4 linked regions of the Saccharomyces cerevisiae S288C genome follow. The gene in region 3 interacts genetically with the main gene of each other region. Each region holds a gene or a part of one and is shown on either strand. Other genes may lie near its edges. The genes, in order: MNE1, PET8, YME2 and EHT1.

Region 1 (5,194 bases), on a different chromosome or scaffold from region 3:
AGAAAGCGGGACGTAAGCAGTTTAGCCATTCTAAAAGGGGCATTATCAGAATAAGAAGGCCCTATGAGGTATGATTGTAAAGCAAGTGGTGTAAAATTGTGTGCTACCTACCGTATTAGTAGGAACAATTATGCAAGAGGGGTCCTGTGCAAATAAAAAATATATATCTAGAAAAAGAGTAGGTAGGTCCTTCACAATATTGACTGATAGCGATCTCCTCACTATTTTTCACTTATATGCAGTATATTTGTCTGCTTATCTTTCATTAAGTGGAATCATTTGTAGTTTATTCCTACTTTATGGGTATTTTCCAATCATAAAGCATACCGTGGTAATTTAGCCGGGGAAAAGAAGAATGATGGCGGCTAAATTTCGGCGGCTATTTCATTCATTCAAGTATAAAAGGGAGAGGTTTGACTAATTTTTTACTTGAGCTCCTTCTGGAGTGCTCTTGTACGTTTCAAATTTTATTAAGGACCAAATATACAACAGAAAGAAGAAGAGCGGAATGAGACCGTTGTATAGCTGCAACCTTGCAACCAAAGATGATATTGAGATGGCAGGTGGCGTAGCTCCTGCTCACCTGGAAGTTAATGTAGGCGGCTATAATACAGAGCAGACAATACCTATAGTAAAGCATCAGCTCGTGAAAGTTGGGAGAAATGATAAGGAATGTCAACTCGTTCTAACGAATCCCTCTATCTCCTCTGTTCATTGCGTGTTTTGGTGTGTCTTTTTTGATGAGGATAGTATTCCAATGTTCTACGTTAAAGATTGTTCTCTTAATGGAACGTATTTGAACGGTTTGCTTTTGAAAAGGGACAAAACGTATCTTTTAAAACATTGCGACGTTATTGAATTATCGCAGGGAAGTGAAGAAAATGACATTAAAAAAACACGACTAGTTTTTATGATTAATGATGATTTACAATCTTCTCTGGACCCAAAACTTTTAGATCAAATGGGTTTTCTGAGGGAAGTAGACCAATGGGAAATAACAAATAGAATAGTGGGTAATGGCACTTTCGGTCATGTTCTGATCACGCATAACTCAAAAGAACGTGATGAAGATGTCTGTTATCACCCTGAAAATTATGCTGTGAAGATCATTAAACTAAAACCAAATAAATTCGATAAAGAGGCTCGAATCCTTTTGAGACTGGATCACCCAAATATTATCAAAGTCTACCATACTTTCTGTGACAGGAACAATCACCTTTACATATTCCAGGATCTTATCCCTGGTGGTGATTTGTTTTCTTACCTAGCTAAAGGCGACTGTCTAACTTCCATGTCAGAAACTGAATCGCTATTGATCGTCTTTCAAATTTTGCAAGCTTTAAACTACCTTCATGATCAAGACATTGTTCACCGCGATTTGAAACTAGACAATATTTTGTTATGTACGCCAGAACCGTGCACTAGAATCGTCTTGGCAGACTTTGGTATAGCTAAAGATTTAAATTCCAACAAAGAAAGAATGCATACTGTCGTAGGCACTCCGGAATACTGCGCTCCAGAAGTTGGATTCAGAGCAAACAGAAAAGCATATCAAAGCTTCTCAAGAGCAGCTACGTTAGAGCAACGAGGTTATGACAGTAAATGTGATCTTTGGTCTTTGGGTGTCATTACACACATTATGTTAACAGGGATCTCGCCTTTTTATGGAGATGGTTCTGAGAGGAGTATTATTCAAAATGCAAAAATTGGGAAGCTGAATTTCAAACTGAAGCAGTGGGATATTGTTTCAGATAATGCCAAGAGTTTTGTCAAAGACCTTTTGCAAACTGACGTAGTTAAACGATTAAATAGTAAGCAAGGTCTCAAACATATTTGGATTGCAAAACACTTAAGTCAATTAGAGAGATTATATTACAAAAAGATATTGTGCAATAACGAAGGCCCTAAACTAGAAAGTATAAATTCAGACTGGAAAAGGAAGTTACCCAAAAGTGTTATCATTTCTCAGGCAATACCGAAAAAGAAGAAGGTTTTGGAGTAATCATAGGATTATCTCTTCCTCTTTCAAACTGCGCGTAGTTCAAAATAAAAAGGTATCTGTGTAAAAAAAAAAAAGTAAGTCAATTGTATGATTTTTAAGTAAAAGTTGCCCTTTTCTACTAGAAACGGCGAGAAAAAATGATAGTAGTGTGCCAAGAAGAATATGAAGTTACTTTTTAAAAGATATTCGTCTAGTCATATTGGTAAGCTGATTAAGGACTCTTTAATCACTCCTGAAATACTACCACAGCTAGGGCGACAGCCATCATCGCATAAACGTTTACCAAATAACAAAAGAACTAACTCAATAACTGATAAATGGTTGAAGGATGCGCTAACAAGAAAAGATAAACTGAATGAAGATAAGCTCCAAAATGTAAATTTACGATTAAATGTGGTACTGACTACTCTACAGAAGCTTCGTACATCCGATAATCCTGCTTTGTATTTTGCGTTGTTGAATCGTATTGGCACAGGTCACATAAAATGGCTAAATAAAAGTGGCCGACAGATTGATGCATTCCCACCTGATCGGCTGCCTTTGGAATTTTATCATGAGCTATCTAATATGCTCTATAAACTATCGCTTCGGTCCGCAAATGACAAAATTGCACTAGCTAAATTTTCATTGCAATTATTGGATCGCTATTATTTTCTTAAAACCAAATCTTTAACTATAGAAGGAAAATTTCGGGCAAACATAAAATTTTTGAGGAATTGTACTCTTTTAATTGTTAAATCCCAATCGAACTACTACTTAAGGGCAATACAGCGGTTGTTCGCGGAAAATTCGGAGGGTCAATTATTAGCCAATTTATCCCAGCTGGCATTTTATGTGGAGACCTCCCAATGGACAAGTATGTTGGATATTTTATCCTCATGTGTACCGGATTCTGGTTTAAGAGGTTCGAAGGAGCGTGAAAGAGCTATTCAATTGTTGGAGTTATTTAGTCCATGCCTAGTCAAAAGTCTAAAAGTAATGATAGCACAAAATATGGAGAATGAAGCTTGTCAGATTTTAAGGAGCTTGTCTGAATGGAACTTTCATTTTGATCAGCATGATTCCTCCAACTTGATACAATTATCCCAGAACCATTCTTGCCTCAAAGTTATTGAAACCATGAATGGATTATCATCAACTACCGCTGTCACTAGGCAATTCGGACTTGAAAAATTACCAACTGACGTGAGTTTGAAGCAGAGCATACATATTTTATCAAAAGATAATTTCGAACCTCTCAAGCAAGATTCATTTCTTCAATTTCTATCGTTTAAATTAAGTGATTTGCCTCTGAACTTAGAAGTATGGAAAAAGCACATTAAGGAGGTTGATGACCAAATGCAGGCTGAGTCCAACCTGCATTCCTTAAGAGCTTTTTTTATTGATATGCTACTGTGTCACTTATCTGTGCGCAAGGATTTCGATTTTATGCTTTCATTGGTCGAGCACATAGTATACGAAAAAAATTTATGGCAGCCATTATTACTCACAGATAATATAGTTGGAAACAAAGAAAATTCCACTTTTCATTGCCTCTTTCATGGCGCCTCTCAAGATATTTCTACCAAACTTACTCTACTGGCATTGTATAACCAGTTGAATGAAATCGGCTATCAATTTACCTCCCACGATTTTCTCTCGATGTTGAAAGTCTGCAAAAACTACTCTGATTCTGATTTTTTCTATTTTGCTTTCTATAATTTGTTGGTTACACAAAGTCACAAATTTTTTCTTTTCGATAAGTTTAGTGATAAGTTTTCGTGGAGGTTGCCAATACAAATCGGAGATGCAATTTCTGAATGGCTATCCAGCTTAGAAATTGATATACAAGAAAACACCGATAGAGTTTTGCAGATAACAGATGACGTCGGCGAATGGTATGTTGAGAATAAACCATTTAAGTCAGAAAAAGGGACCATTCAACCAATAAACATAATGGAATTGCGCAAAATTTTTGGGGAGCGAAAAACTCTATTTCATATGGATTCAGAAATTTTCCAAAAATCTAAAGCAAAAAGAGATAAAGAAATGCGGAATGAAGCTTTATTTACCGCAAATGATGCGGAATATAATTTTGCTGCGGATGTATCCTATGCAAAGAGAGTAGAAAATCTATTTTCTTACATAAGATCTAAGCAAATGCAACAAAAATAATGATTATATGTAAAATTTGCCGTTTACATTCTATAAAGTGATATCAGACTCTAATATATTCGCCAATTCATGTTTCTGGCAGGCCACTTGTAGAGCTTGGAGTTGCCTGGTGACACCTAATTCCAAAAATATCTGGAACATACCTTGTAAAGCGACATTTTGATCAGTCATAAATTTTGATTTTGTTGCGGCGTATTCACGTTTCACAAGAACCAACAACCTTTTCAGTATTATGTTGGATAGATTCTTCTGGTCAGCATTTTCTCTCATTGTGTGGTAACAAGATATTGCCAAGAACGGGAAGAATTTGATCACGCTTACTCTCAATGTCGTACAATCTAATAAATGTAGGTTATAGAACTTGGCGAAAACACCCTGAAAATTAAAATTTGGATGTAGAACAACCAACCCAGATTCCATGATTCTAGTCCAAAATTTTACACAATGAATGGTGAATTTGATGGTGTCAAATCTCATACCTCCTGTTAATGGATCCTTGTTACGATCGCGTATTCTTGATTCAGCGATTTGTTTAGCGCTTGGAATTATTCTGATTAAATCGTGGCATAATTCCAGCTGTTGTGAAGGAGACAAAGATCTGTAGTATACGATAAATGAATCTATTGATGAAGTAAGCTGAGAATCTGTAAAATGTATTGCTCCAGCGCTCACTGCATATCCTTTCCAGAATTCTTCACTTAAACCTTGCTTGTGACGGAAATTGAGTATCGAAGAGTCAGATAACACAGTGATTTGTGATGTGGCCGAAGCAAGTAATTGATAACTTAGTTTTCTGATCTCTGGTACAGGTTCCGCCAGCAATCTCGTTAATTTTGGATTGATGGAGTCGCAATCACCAGATAAGAAATCGGGATGGGATTGCATAAGTTTTAAAGCCTGTATTCTTACCAGACGTCCTACATCACCCTGTTGAGTTATTGTATAATCATCGAGACAGTTGATAATGATGTTGCGAAATTTTCGATACGAATTCGACGGGAGTAAGCTTATTCTAACATCCCAATGATGATCAAGTTC
Region 2 (3,951 bases), on a different chromosome or scaffold from region 3:
GCACCCCCGAAGATCTCACTGAGTTTTTTTCACAGATAGGAAAAGTAGTCCGCGCGGATATAATTACATCAAGAGGGCACCACAGAGGTATGGGTACAGTAGAGTTCACTAATTCGGATGATGTTGACAGGGCCATCCGCCAGTACGATGGGGCCTTCTTCATGGATCGTAAAATCTTCGTCAGGCAAGATAATCCACCACCGTCAAACAATATCAAGGAAAGGAAAGCACTCGATAGAGGAGAGCTTAGACATAACCGAAAAACACATGAAGTTATTGTAAAAAATTTACCTGCTTCCGTTAATTGGCAGGCTTTGAAAGACATATTCAAGGAATGTGGGAATGTCGCACACGCTGATGTGGAATTGGATGGCGATGGAGTATCCACTGGATCTGGTACGGTGTCCTTTTATGATATTAAAGATCTGCATAGAGCGATTGAGAAATACAACGGTTATAGTATAGAGGGTAACGTCTTGGATGTCAAGTCTAAGGAAAGCGTACATAACCACAGTGATGGAGACGATGTTGATATCCCAATGGATGATTCTCCCGTTAACGAAGAAGCTCGAAAATTTACCGAAAACGTTGTCGGTGGAGGTGAAAGAAATAGACTCATATATTGCAGTAATTTGCCATTTTCAACTGCAAAAAGTGATCTTTACGACCTTTTCGAGACAATCGGAAAGGTTAACAATGCTGAATTAAGGTATGATTCCAAAGGGGCACCAACTGGAATAGCTGTCGTTGAATACGATAACGTCGATGATGCAGATGTTTGTATTGAAAGATTGAATAATTATAACTATGGGGGTTGTGATTTGGATATATCGTACGCTAAACGCCTCTAGAACTACTCTCGATCTATATACTTTCTCACCTATTGGATCTGCGACAAGTATTTATTCATTCTTGACTTATTTCCAGGCTTTTTAACTTTATAATGTCATTGTGTATACGTATAATCTGAAAAAATTTCGAAGACTTTGAAGAAGACTGTGAAAAGAGTCTGATTTTTCCAATACAGTGAAAATGGGTTTAACAAATATCCAAAAAAGTACTTTGAACAGATATCGTAAATAGACGACTTTTTTATATGAATAACAAAAAATAAACAACAGACAAGAGGCCTCAGAAGGCTTACGTAAAGTACGTAAACGATCTACCTCTTACAACTGGTAGTTGCTTTTGCTCTATGTTTTCATTACGCTCTCATTTCTCCAGCCGTTGGGAAACTTTTCGATAATAACGAATGAACAGTTTCATACATGCCTAGGAAGATAGCACCACCTGCACTGATCCACATTGTCCGGGGCCCCACTCCACTGAAAAATACAGCAGGACCTTCCTCTCTGTAAATCCTAATAATAACGCTTCCAAGTGAGGCGGTTGTTTTGTTGAGCATTAATCTGGTTTTCAAGAAATCTAATGGTGTCGTTGTAGCTGCTGCGATCCCACCCGCAATAGAACCGCAGATAGCCCCTTTCCATGGCTCCACTTGACTTTGGCCATTGGCTTTTGCCCAAGTCTTTTTTAGATACTCGTATAAAGGAAACTGTATACAAGTAAACGGTATTTCTCTCATAATGGTGGTAGACCACCCTCTATAAAGATTTTTCCTTAAACCTTCCTTATTGTCATTTCGTAGAATTGACTGTAAAGTCTGCCAGGAAGAATTGGTAGAGTGAACTTGCGTCCTTTGCTTAACGACTTCTGCGGGAACTCGAACAAGACAAGCACAAATTTCACCAATGGAAGAGGAAAGCATGTGCGTTGTCGTATCAATCAATTGCTCAGATCCCTGTGAGTAAAGTTTGCTGATATATGGCCTTGATTTTACTTTCATATAATCATAACTAATAAAGAAAAGTGAAGCACCTGGCGCCGATGCTACAACAGCGCTTCCCAAACCACGATATATGCCTTTGTATCCTCCATTAGCAAAGAATCCACCCTTAGCTTGAAGCCTGGTTTTAATTGTGTCTATAGGGAAAAAAACCAAATCCGTAGAGGTACCAGCAGCGGCGCCACTTAGCAAGGAAAGAAAAAAAGTATTCATAGCAAACTTTTCAAAGCGAATTTTAGTTCATCGGTGTGTCTAAACATATAAAATCGCCAAACAATTTACAACAAGTGGAGCTTTAATGATCTCATATATTCTCGAGGGTGCACCCCACTGCAAATGTATTTATATACAAAACAGCGCTCAGTAAGCGAGGAAAAAAAGAGGCGCCCGTGCTTTTGCCGATACATAAACTAAAAACCAATAAACTTGCCAAAATACGTATATTCTTCAATCCATGAGGCACCACTAATTATATGCAAAAGCTCAATATCTGCTCCTTCAATGGCATTAGATAACTAACAACCTATGTACTATACAATTTTAAAATACTCTCTTAATTAATTCAACTTGGCTAATAAAGAGTCAATGTCAACTTCGATAACTGGTGCTGTAGCTGCATTTGAAAATTGACGAGTTCTTGATTCAGCCTCCCGCTGTTTTATTTTCCTTAGCCTATTCAAAGAACCAAATCCAGATACTTCTCTATTCAACTTGAATGGTTGTAAGAAGAAGTTACAAACAGAAAAAGACTCACCCATAGTGGCAATCTCATGAATAATATCTTCAACACAAATTATTCCATGATCTCCTAATTGCTCCTCGACAATATTGTTGTCATTAAGAACTATTTCGTGAGGTTCAGCCTCATTCTCACCCTTATAGATTATTCTACCTCTCTTTTGAATCAAGGAACGGATAGAAGATAAAGAAGGCTTGCCAATCACTACGTATGGCGCAATAACCTTGAGCAACGGATATACGTTTTTGGTCAATTTGACGAAAACACCAGTATTAGTTTCAACTAATCTTAGCAAAGACAAAATCTTAAATGCTTTGTTTGGAATATTTACAGCAAGCGGACCTCTTACTCTGACAATGAAAAGTAAAGCAGGTTTGCCATCGTAAGTAGTCTTTTCTCTGATTAAACCATCGTCTTCTTCTTCTTCAGTCTCCTCCAAGTCGACAGAGTTCTCTTCGGCGCCATTAGCTTTTTCTGTTATTTTCAGAATAAAATCTTTCCCAGATGCAATATGCTGCGTTTCATTCTTTGCCTTCTTATCTTCTAATATAGACACTCTTTTAATTCTTTCCTTTTCCCTAGAGGTAGCCAAAGTCTTTGCAACTATACTTTCAGCTCTGACAAATTTGTTCTTATTACTTCTCTTTTTTTTGATTTGTTCTTCCCTCTTTTTCTTAGCTAATTCTTGTCTTTCGATTCTAGTTCTATCAGCATTTCTTCTTTTCCTCAAAAGAATTTCTGGATTAGAATTAAGAGTTTGCGCTTTACTGTCTTGAGTTGAAGACATTGTGACTTGTATATCTTATTCTTTTTCCCTGTGGCAGCCTCTTCTTTCTAGGAACTTAATAACGAAAGTACCAAACAACTTAGACTTTTCTCATCTCATCGCTTCCCAGCTTTTTTTAAGCAGAGCTGAAAAAAATTTTCTTTTTACCAAAAATCCGTACTGCGTGATGAAAGTGTACATACATTATTCAATATTCACCTAGTTTTGTATATTAATGTAAAATGTAATTTAATGAAGATCCCAAAAAATTAAGCATTCGTTGCTGCATCGTTGTCATTTTGTTCAATTATCGCATTCCTATCATAGCAAAAATATGAAGGTTATTAGTCTGAAAAAGGATTCTTTTAACAAAGGAGGAGCAGTGATTACTCTTTTACCGGAGGACAAGGAAGATCTGTTTACTGTTTATCAAATAGTAGACAAAGATGACGAGTTGATATTCAAGAAAAAATTCACCTCTAAACTTGATGAAGCTGGTAAGAAAAAAAGTACAGATTTGGTCAAGTTGAAGATTAAAGTAATATCCGAGGATTTTGATATGAAGGATGAATATTTGAAATATAAAGGTGTTACTGTTAC
Region 3 (5,443 bases):
CATTATCTTCTACGAATCCAACGGCAAGTTGGAGCATAAGGATATCCCAGTTCCAAAGCCAAAGCCCAACGAATTGTTAATCAACGTCAAGTACTCTGGTGTCTGCCACACCGATTTGCACGCTTGGCATGGTGACTGGCCATTGCCAACTAAGTTACCATTAGTTGGTGGTCACGAAGGTGCCGGTGTCGTTGTCGGCATGGGTGAAAACGTTAAGGGCTGGAAGATCGGTGACTACGCCGGTATCAAATGGTTGAACGGTTCTTGTATGGCCTGTGAATACTGTGAATTGGGTAACGAATCCAACTGTCCTCACGCTGACTTGTCTGGTTACACCCACGACGGTTCTTTCCAAGAATACGCTACCGCTGACGCTGTTCAAGCCGCTCACATTCCTCAAGGTACTGACTTGGCTGAAGTCGCGCCAATCTTGTGTGCTGGTATCACCGTATACAAGGCTTTGAAGTCTGCCAACTTGAGAGCAGGCCACTGGGCGGCCATTTCTGGTGCTGCTGGTGGTCTAGGTTCTTTGGCTGTTCAATATGCTAAGGCGATGGGTTACAGAGTCTTAGGTATTGATGGTGGTCCAGGAAAGGAAGAATTGTTTACCTCGCTCGGTGGTGAAGTATTCATCGACTTCACCAAAGAGAAGGACATTGTTAGCGCAGTCGTTAAGGCTACCAACGGCGGTGCCCACGGTATCATCAATGTTTCCGTTTCCGAAGCCGCTATCGAAGCTTCTACCAGATACTGTAGGGCGAACGGTACTGTTGTCTTGGTTGGTTTGCCAGCCGGTGCAAAGTGCTCCTCTGATGTCTTCAACCACGTTGTCAAGTCTATCTCCATTGTCGGCTCTTACGTGGGGAACAGAGCTGATACCAGAGAAGCCTTAGATTTCTTTGCCAGAGGTCTAGTCAAGTCTCCAATAAAGGTAGTTGGCTTATCCAGTTTACCAGAAATTTACGAAAAGATGGAGAAGGGCCAAATTGCTGGTAGATACGTTGTTGACACTTCTAAATAAGCGGATCTCTTATGTCTTTACGATTTATAGTTTTCATTATCAAGTATGCCTATATTAGTATATAGCATCTTTAGATGACAGTGTTCGAAGTTTCACGAATAAAAGATAATATTCTACTTTTTGCTCCCACCGCGTTTGCTAGCACGAGTGAACACCATCCCTCGCCTGTGAGTTGTACCCATTCCTCTAAACTGTAGACATGGTAGCTTCAGCAGTGTTCGTTATGTACGGCATCCTCCAACAAACAGTCGGTTATAGTTTGTCCTGCTCCTCTGAATCGTCTCCCTCGATATTTCTCATTTTCCTTCGCATGCCAGCATTGAAATGATCGAAGTTCAATGATGAAACGGTAATTCTTCTGTCATTTACTCATCTCATCTCATCAAGTTATATAATTCTATACGGATGTAATTTTTCACTTTTCGTCTTGACGTCCACCCTATAATTTCAATTATTGAACCCTCACAAATGATGCACTGCAATGTACACACCCTCATATAGTTTCTCAGGGCTTGATCAGGGTTCCGTAGATGGGAATTTGAGAAGTATAAGGGAGATAACGGTAATGTTATATTGAGAAAATGAAAGATGAACTCAGTATTGACAGGATCTAAAACCAAAATATAGCGGGCCTATACAGGAAGTAGTATTTGTAAAAGTAAACCATGTTGCTAGTACGAACGACTTCCCTGAATGTGTCAAGGATGCCAGTGCCATGCCTCGCCAGAGGAATAGGCATCCTCAAGGGCAAATATAGACTAGCGAACCTGATGAATGCCCAACCCTCAGTGAGACATGTGTCGAGCGAGATCCAGCAAAAGGATCAGCAGGCAGGAGAGTCAAACACCGCCACCGATACTGGTGTTATTCACAAATCAGATGAAGAAACTCTGATATATTTCGATAATGTTTACGCTAGAACCACCTCGGTTTGGAATCCAACACTGTGGTACAATCTCCTGCTAAGAAACCAGTCACGGGATGCAGTGAGGGAGAAAATAAGGAATTTAGCCAGTCCACCCAATAACCCCATTTATGGACTGGAGTTGAAGTCTACCATTCCAGTGAAAAGGGATGGTGGTGTATTTGCCACATTTGTCGTTCCACCCAAGTATACAAAAGCTCAGGTAAATTCTCTAATCCAACAGAATACAGCCAGAGAATCCTCTAAAAACTTACTCTCGTACTTCACTCGAGCTTCTGCCTTCCCAGTAAAGGGTTCGCCTTGGATTGAGGATTTAAGAAGACTACCAAGTACCACTATAGTCATCAAGTTCCAAGGGCCCGCCTTAACAGAAGAAGAAATATACTCTTTATTCAGAAGATATGGGACAATTATTGATATTTTCCCTCCCACTGCTGCTAACAACAATGTGGCAAAGGTAAGATACCGTTCATTCCGTGGTGCCATTTCTGCCAAGAATTGTGTTTCCGGTATCGAAATTCATAATACCGTCTTACACATACAATACGAAAATATCAGAAGAGGCCATCTAGTTAGTAATTTTTTCACCAACCATACAAGGATTGCTATTCCAGTTTTATTTGCGCTACTTTCAATCTTTGCTGTTTTAGTGTTTGATCCTATAAGAGAATTTTCGATTGAACAGAAGATCACTCACAAATATTCTTTATCGTGGGACAATAAGTTTTGGAAACAACTGAAAACGCTAACCTCATCTACCATGACTTCTATCAAGTACTACTGGGGCGGCCCTGATGATAATCACCAAAGAAAGCATTTATGGGAGGAAAGAATAGAGAAAGTGAATGACCTGAAAATGTGGCTTGAAGAAAATAATAATACTTTTGTGGTTATAAGGGGGCCTAGAGGTTCAGGGAAACATGATTTGGTCATGCAACACACTTTGCAAAATAGAGCAAATGTTTTGTATTTGGATTGTGATAAATTGATTAAGTCCAGAACAGATCCTATGTTTTTAAAAAATGCCGCTAGTCAATTGGGTTATTTCCCAATATTCCCATGGATTGACTCTGTCACAGGTGTCCTTGATTTAACAGTGCAAGGATTAACAGGGCAAAAAACTGGGTTGTCTGAGACGAAGGAATCTCGGTTTAGAAACATGTTAACTACCTCATTGATGTCCATTAGACGTATTGCTCTCAAGAATTACAAGGCTTTTGTTTCCACCGGTGATGGGACAGTTAATGTTAAGGAAGAAGATTACCTACAGCAACATCCGGAAGCTAAACCCGTTATCGTCATAGATAGGTTTGAGGGCAAGTCGGAAATAAATGGATTTGTGTATAAGGAACTATCCGATTGGGCAGCTATGCTAGTTCAAATGAATATTGCTCATGTGATTTTCTTAACGGAAACCGTTGCATCCAACCAAAGATTGAGCGAATCACTACCCAATCAAGTCTTCAAAAACCTAATCCTATCAGATGCCTCAAAAGAGAATTCGAGGAACTATGTATTATCCCAATTGGAGGATTACTTATATTACAATAAAAAATCCAAGGGTGAAAACGTAAAAGAACCTGAATCAGAAAAGGAAACTGCTGAAAATAATGATTCTGATAGTGAGGCCGATACGAGTGTCAAAAAAGCTGAGGTTATTTTAAATGAAAAGGAATTACAGGAAATTGACGCTTCTTTAGAGCCATTGGGTGGTAGGATGTTAGACTTACAGGCATTTGTAAGAAGGGTAAAGTCAGGAGAAGAGCCCTCGGAAGCAGTAGACAAAATGATTGAACAGGCTTCTGAGCAAATAACTCAAATGTTTTTAAGTGACAAGATTGACAGCAATAAAAGTGCACAAGCCTGGGAATTAATCGAATTATTGAGTGCGAACCCAGTCATTCCATTCCATGAAATCGTTAACAAGCCATTATTCAAAGCCGCACCAGAAACGGGAATCATGGAATTGGAGAATAATGGTTTAATAACTGTATCTAGAGATAGGGGTGTTTTACAGGAAATCAGGCCTGCCAAACCGCTATACAGGGCAGCATTCACATACTTGATCAACGATCCTGAACTCGCAAAAGTGCTAAAAACCCGTTACTTATTAAAGGTTGTGGGTTTTGAAACTGGTAGAATCAAGAAATGGGAAGAAGAATTAAAACCTTTGGGGAAAGTTCCTGATCAGAAACTTTTCAAGACCAGATTGGACTATTTATCCGGTAAAATCAATGCCAGTAATGCAGTCATTACCAAATGTGAAGAAGAAATTAAAAACCTATCTAAGTGATGAAACAAAACTTACTATTCTGCTTTTCTGTACATATGTGTAAACCCTATATTGCTATACTCATCTATATTCTTTTGAAAATGTATAAAAGTGACGATTGGAGATGGTGCAATTTTCTACGCAGCATGAAAAATATCTAAGGAAGGTAAGGTACATACCAAGTAAGTCTTATAATATGTTGTTGTACCTCACTTTACCATTCTTAAAGTCTTTAAAAGAAATTACCTTACCCAATTTGCACAGCAAAGGTCACTGACCTATACGTGCCCTTCATCAGATTACATCACGTGAAATTTCACTGGGAAAGAGCGCGAGGGCTTTCCGATGACTTTCTACATTAATAATCGCAAACAAAGCAATCAGCACAGCAAAGAGTACAATTTCGAAAATTGCGACAGAGCAACGTAAGTATATCGTTGTTGATAGATTCCACTCCAACCTGCAAATGCTGCTTCTTCCAAGATGTCCTGTAATTGGGCGAATTGTAAGATCAAAATTTAGATCTGGTCTAATCCGGAACCATTCGCCCGTTATATTTACTGTGTCTAAGTTATCAACCCAGCGGCCTCTGTTATTCAATTCAGCTGTGAATTTATGGAATCAAGCACAAAAGGATATTACGCACAAAAAATCCGTCGAGCAATTCTCGTCGGCTCCAAAAGTGAAGACTCAGGTAAAAAAGACCAGCAAGGCCCCAACCCTCTCGGAACTGAAAATCTTGAAAGATCTATTTCGCTATATTTGGCCCAAAGGCAACAATAAAGTGAGGATAAGGGTACTGATTGCCCTTGGACTGTTGATATCCGCCAAAATTTTAAATGTTCAAGTACCTTTTTTTTTCAAGCAAACTATTGATTCAATGAATATAGCATGGGATGATCCTACAGTCGCCCTTCCGGCAGCGATTGGATTAACCATTCTTTGCTATGGTGTTGCAAGGTTCGGCTCTGTTTTATTCGGCGAACTGAGGAACGCCGTATTTGCCAAAGTGGCACAGAATGCCATTAGAACTGTGTCGCTACAAACTTTCCAGCACCTTATGAAGTTAGATTTGGGATGGCACTTGAGTAGACAAACGGGTGGTCTGACGAGGGCCATGGATAGAGGTACAAAGGGTATATCTCAAGTGTTAACGGCCATGGTATTCCACATTATCCCTATAAGTTTTGAAATATCTGTCGTTTGTGGGATTTTGACGTATCAA
Region 4 (4,453 bases), on a different chromosome or scaffold from region 3:
TCATCTAAAGTATTCATCACAGGTGATGTAAATACTGGTAAATCAGCTCTTTGCAACTCTCTATTAAAGCAGCGTTTGCTACCTGAGGATCAGCTACCATGTACCAATGTATTTTCCGAAATACTAGAGGCTCGGGAAAATGACGGCATAGAGGAGGTTCATGCCATACCACTAAACATTGCTCCGACTCTCAAGGAAGCCATTGATATGTATTCAATACAAAATCCCAAGACTTATGAAATACACACTTTGAAAGAACTTCCCGATTTGGTTCCCCAAAACGGAAAATATGCTTTACTGAAGATTTACATAAAGGACGATAAAAGGCCTGCCTCTACTAGTCTATTAAGGAATGGTACTGTTGATATTTCATTAATTGACTCCCCTGGGTTGAACATGGACTCGTTACAAACCGCCGAAGTAATGTCCCGACAAGAAGAAATCGACTTAGTTATATTTGTTGTCAATGCAGAGAACCAGCTAACACTATCTGCCAAGGAGTTTATTTCTTTAGCATCTCGTGAGAAAAAATTAATGTTTTTTGTTGTGAAAAAATTTGACAAAATCAGGGACAAACAACGTTGTAAGGAGTTGATCCTAAAGCAAATCCGTGACCTGTCCCCAGAAACATATAAACGTGCAGCTGATTTTGTCCACTTTGTTTCCAAAAACGGAGATGAATTGCCACATTATCATAATGAAAATGACAATGAAGATCATGGTGACCGAAAACCTGACGACGACCCATATTCTAGCAGCGATCCCGATCCGGATTTTGACAGTCTGGAAGATTCTCTACGCAATTTTGTTTTGAAGAAAAGATCACTTTCTAAATTGTTACCTGCCAAGACTTATCTATCGAAATTATTAAGCGATATAATAATGATCTCCAAATCTAATATGAAAATGTATAGTGAAGAAGAAATAAAAATTAACGAACAACTGGAAACATTGAGACCTGAAATTTTGAGCGCTAGAGCAAAGTGCAATGATTTAACAACTTCCGTTGATCAAATGGCCGAGCAAACAATTACAATGACTTATAACAATACTAAAGAAGCACTTCTCAATGCGTTGGATGTTCCGCTACACGAATATCCGAAATATCAGGGCCTCGGTCAAATTTATGACTTCATATTTTCAACAGAAGCGTTCATAGCAAATCAGATTGATGAGTCAATAGGATCAAGTGAATTATTTGCCAAGCAAAAGACAGATTTACTGGTAAAAAAAATTTATGAGATTGGAAAAAATGAACTTGGTGATGATTTCATGTGTGAACGTGTTTTCAGAAGCGAACTAATGTTTAGAAAAAGGAAGCATTTGATAGGAAAAAGGCTTAAAGTATCTTTGTCAATAACTGATTTGTTTGCTCCAACTTGGAAAGGCTTTTTGTCTTACTTAAGCTGGCAGAAACCTGTCACAGCACCACTGCCGGATATAGAAGGACAAACTAACGAGGGTCAGATTGGCCTAATGAAGTATTTGGGTTTGAAAAATTATCCTTTGACACAATATTGGTCAAGACCATCATTGCTCTTCACATCAAAAATTCCCACTCTAACGCTGTACTTTCTAGGAAGTACAAAGGTTGTGGGGAACATTATATTAAACGGCATTAAATTATCGTCGTGGAGCTCACTCAAGAAGTTATCAGTTCCGGTTATAGTGGTAGGTTCCTTGTTGGGACTTACGTATTTAATTCATGACCTCCCCCGTGCCTTACCAATGAATCTTTCCATTAAATACAAAAGAAAGTTGCAAGAACTGGATTACATTCATCTTAACGCTCAAAGAACCTCAAATGAAGTACGTGATGTTTTGCGTGTACCTACACGTGAAATTCTAAGGTCGTGTGAAATAATTATGGATAAAAAACAAATCACTAAGAAAGAATTGGAAAACAAAAAAGAAAGTAACTTGTTGTCAATCAAATTCTTCCAATCTCTATACGAAGGAACCGTGGCTCAAAAATTGATGGTGGAAGAAATAAATTTAGACATCGATTAGATATTCTTGTAAATATATGAGGTCTTTTCAAATCAATATACATAATGTTACTTATTATTTTATTCCAAGCAGGTCCATTTTTTTTTTCACTTTGCACGAAATTACATAAACATTAAAAGGACCCTTGTGTATCTGCTTAATGATTTGCAAAACCTGCGGAAACGGAACGAAAAATGAGCAATCTCGTTCCGGTTCCGAGATCCTTTTTTTTTTTTAAATCTTGCGCATGTGCAGATTTTAAAAGGCGTCAGATATCGGATGTCCCTGGAAGTAATAGCTCCTCGAGTATTTCCTCCGTTTATTATTAATATGAGCAGTTTTTTAAGTTCTATTATTACATTGATAGTAGTTGCGTAAAAAACAAAGCTCATAAAAGTTTCCGATATGTCAGAAGTTTCCAAATGGCCAGCAATCAACCCATTCCATTGGGGATACAATGGTACAGTTTCGCATATTGTCGGTGAAAATGGTTCCATTAAACTCCATTTAAAAGACAACAAGGAGCAAGTTGATTTTGACGAGTTCGCTAACAAATATGTCCCAACGTTGAAGAATGGTGCCCAATTCAAATTGAGTCCTTACTTGTTCACAGGTATTTTGCAAACTTTGTACTTAGGTGCTGCTGATTTCTCTAAGAAATTTCCTGTATTCTACGGCAGGGAAATTGTCAAATTCTCGGATGGTGGAGTTTGCACCGCTGACTGGCTCATAGATTCATGGAAAAAGGATTATGAATTCGATCAAAGTACTACGAGCTTTGATAAAAAAAAATTTGATAAAGACGAGAAGGCGACACATCCAGAAGGATGGCCTCGTTTACAACCACGTACAAGGTACCTGAAAGATAATGAGTTGGAAGAACTACGGGAGGTTGATCTACCCCTAGTAGTTATTCTACATGGTCTTGCTGGTGGTAGTCATGAGCCGATTATAAGATCTCTTGCTGAAAACCTGTCTCGCAGTGGGAGATTTCAAGTGGTCGTCCTAAATACCAGAGGTTGTGCACGTTCCAAAATTACCACCAGAAATTTATTTACAGCTTATCACACAATGGATATTCGCGAGTTTTTGCAAAGAGAAAAGCAAAGACATCCAGATAGAAAACTATACGCTGTGGGATGCTCTTTTGGTGCTACGATGCTGGCAAACTATCTGGGAGAAGAGGGCGATAAATCACCTTTATCCGCAGCTGCTACTTTGTGCAATCCTTGGGATCTTCTCCTTTCAGCAATTAGGATGAGCCAGGATTGGTGGTCAAGAACTTTATTTTCCAAAAATATTGCGCAATTCTTAACAAGAACCGTTCAGGTTAATATGGGTGAATTAGGAGTTCCAAATGGCTCTCTCCCCGATCATCCTCCCACAGTCAAGAATCCATCTTTCTATATGTTCACGCCTGAAAATCTAATAAAGGCAAAGAGCTTTAAATCGACCCGGGAATTTGATGAAGTGTACACTGCGCCTGCTTTAGGCTTCCCAAATGCTATGGAGTATTATAAAGCGGCCAGCTCAATAAACAGAGTTGATACAATTCGGGTTCCTACCCTTGTTATCAATTCCAGGGATGATCCTGTTGTCGGCCCAGATCAACCATACTCAATCGTGGAAAAGAATCCTCGTATTTTGTATTGTAGAACCGATTTAGGTGGTCATTTAGCTTACCTAGATAAAGACAACAACTCGTGGGCTACCAAGGCAATTGCAGAATTTTTCACTAAGTTTGATGAATTAGTCGTATGATGTCACACAATTTTCAAACCACTTTCCTATGTATTTATACAACATTGGATCAATGCCCCTTTATTTTAAGTTATGTATTTTTTGTTGTCTTCAGTATACCTAAAATTTAAAGTTTTTTTCCCTATGCAGTGATTTTTATCTATATATTTTACTTTTCGTTAATTGAAGAGAGGAATTCATTCCATAAGTCCTCCTTAACTTTGAAAGTATGAGTACCTCTCTCAGGAAATGTCCTATCCTCTACACTTGCAATGTACTCCTTCAAGCCCTGAGTGGCAATATCTGTCATATTTACAGCTTGCTTCACAAATTTTGGGACAGAATCGCCTTGCATCCCGAGAAGGTCAGATATAACTAGAACTTGTCCACTGGTACCGTTACCTGCACCGATACCTATTGTTGGTACTGAGAGTTTAGATGTTATGAACTGAGCCATCTTATGGGGGACACATTCAATCAGGATAGACCAACAGCCAATTTTTTGTAGTTGCATGGCGGTTTCATACAGCTCCTGCATTTGTAATAGACTTTTGCTACCTTGCACTTTATAACCTCCAAGTGAATGAACTTTTTGGGGAGTTAGTCCTATATGAGCCATAACAGGTATACCCCGGGAGCACAGTTCTTCAATAAATTTCATTGCATATTTGTCTTTGGTGTAAGAACCGACTTCAACTTTGACTGAGGTGACTTTACTGTCCAA

The links.
Region 1: mutations in YME2 (region 3) and MNE1 together harm fitness more than expected from each alone (negative genetic interaction), as found in Saccharomyces cerevisiae (2 studies listed by BioGRID).
Region 2: mutations in YME2 (region 3) and PET8 together harm fitness more than expected from each alone (negative genetic interaction), as found in Saccharomyces cerevisiae (2 studies listed by BioGRID).
Region 4: mutations in YME2 (region 3) and EHT1 together harm fitness more than expected from each alone (negative genetic interaction), as found in Saccharomyces cerevisiae (2 studies listed by BioGRID).

The regions. Positions count from the first base shown.
Region 1 is NC_001147.6:991,826-997,019, reverse strand, and holds MNE1 (Mne1p), read left to right. Parts: upstream 1-2,164; coding exon 2,165-4,156; downstream 4,157-5,194. Other genes in the region: serine/threonine protein kinase MEK1, read left to right, coding at 509-2,002; CIN1 (Cin1p), read right to left, coding at 4,187-5,194.
Region 2 is NC_001146.8:623,771-627,721, forward strand, and holds PET8 (Pet8p), read right to left. Parts: upstream 2,060-3,951; coding exon 1,205-2,059; downstream 1-1,204. Other genes in the region: HRB1 (mRNA-binding protein), read left to right, coding at 1-851; RLP7 (Rlp7p), read right to left, coding at 2,404-3,372; ribosome dissociation factor DOM34, read left to right, coding at 3,686-3,951.
Region 3 is NC_001145.3:868,869-874,311, reverse strand, and holds YME2 (Yme2p), read left to right. Parts: upstream 1-1,686; coding exon 1,687-4,239; downstream 4,240-5,443. Other genes in the region: alcohol dehydrogenase ADH2, read left to right, coding at 1-1,021; ATP-binding cassette Fe/S cluster precursor transporter ATM1, read left to right, coding at 4,685-5,443. UniProt on the Saccharomyces cerevisiae protein: Plays a role in maintaining the mitochondrial genome and in controlling the mtDNA escape. Involved in the regulation of mtDNA nucleotide structure and number. May have a dispensable role in early maturation of pre-rRNA.
Region 4 is NC_001134.8:584,104-588,556, reverse strand, and holds EHT1 (medium-chain fatty acid ethyl ester synthase/esterase), read left to right. Parts: upstream 1-2,394; coding exon 2,395-3,750; downstream 3,751-4,453. Other genes in the region: FZO1 (mitofusin), read left to right, coding at 1-2,010; ECM31 (3-methyl-2-oxobutanoate hydroxymethyltransferase), read right to left, coding at 3,899-4,453. UniProt on the Saccharomyces cerevisiae protein: Displays enzymatic activity both for medium-chain fatty acid (MCFA) ethyl ester synthesis and hydrolysis (esterase activity). MCFA are toxic for yeast and this enzyme could thus be involved in their detoxification by esterification.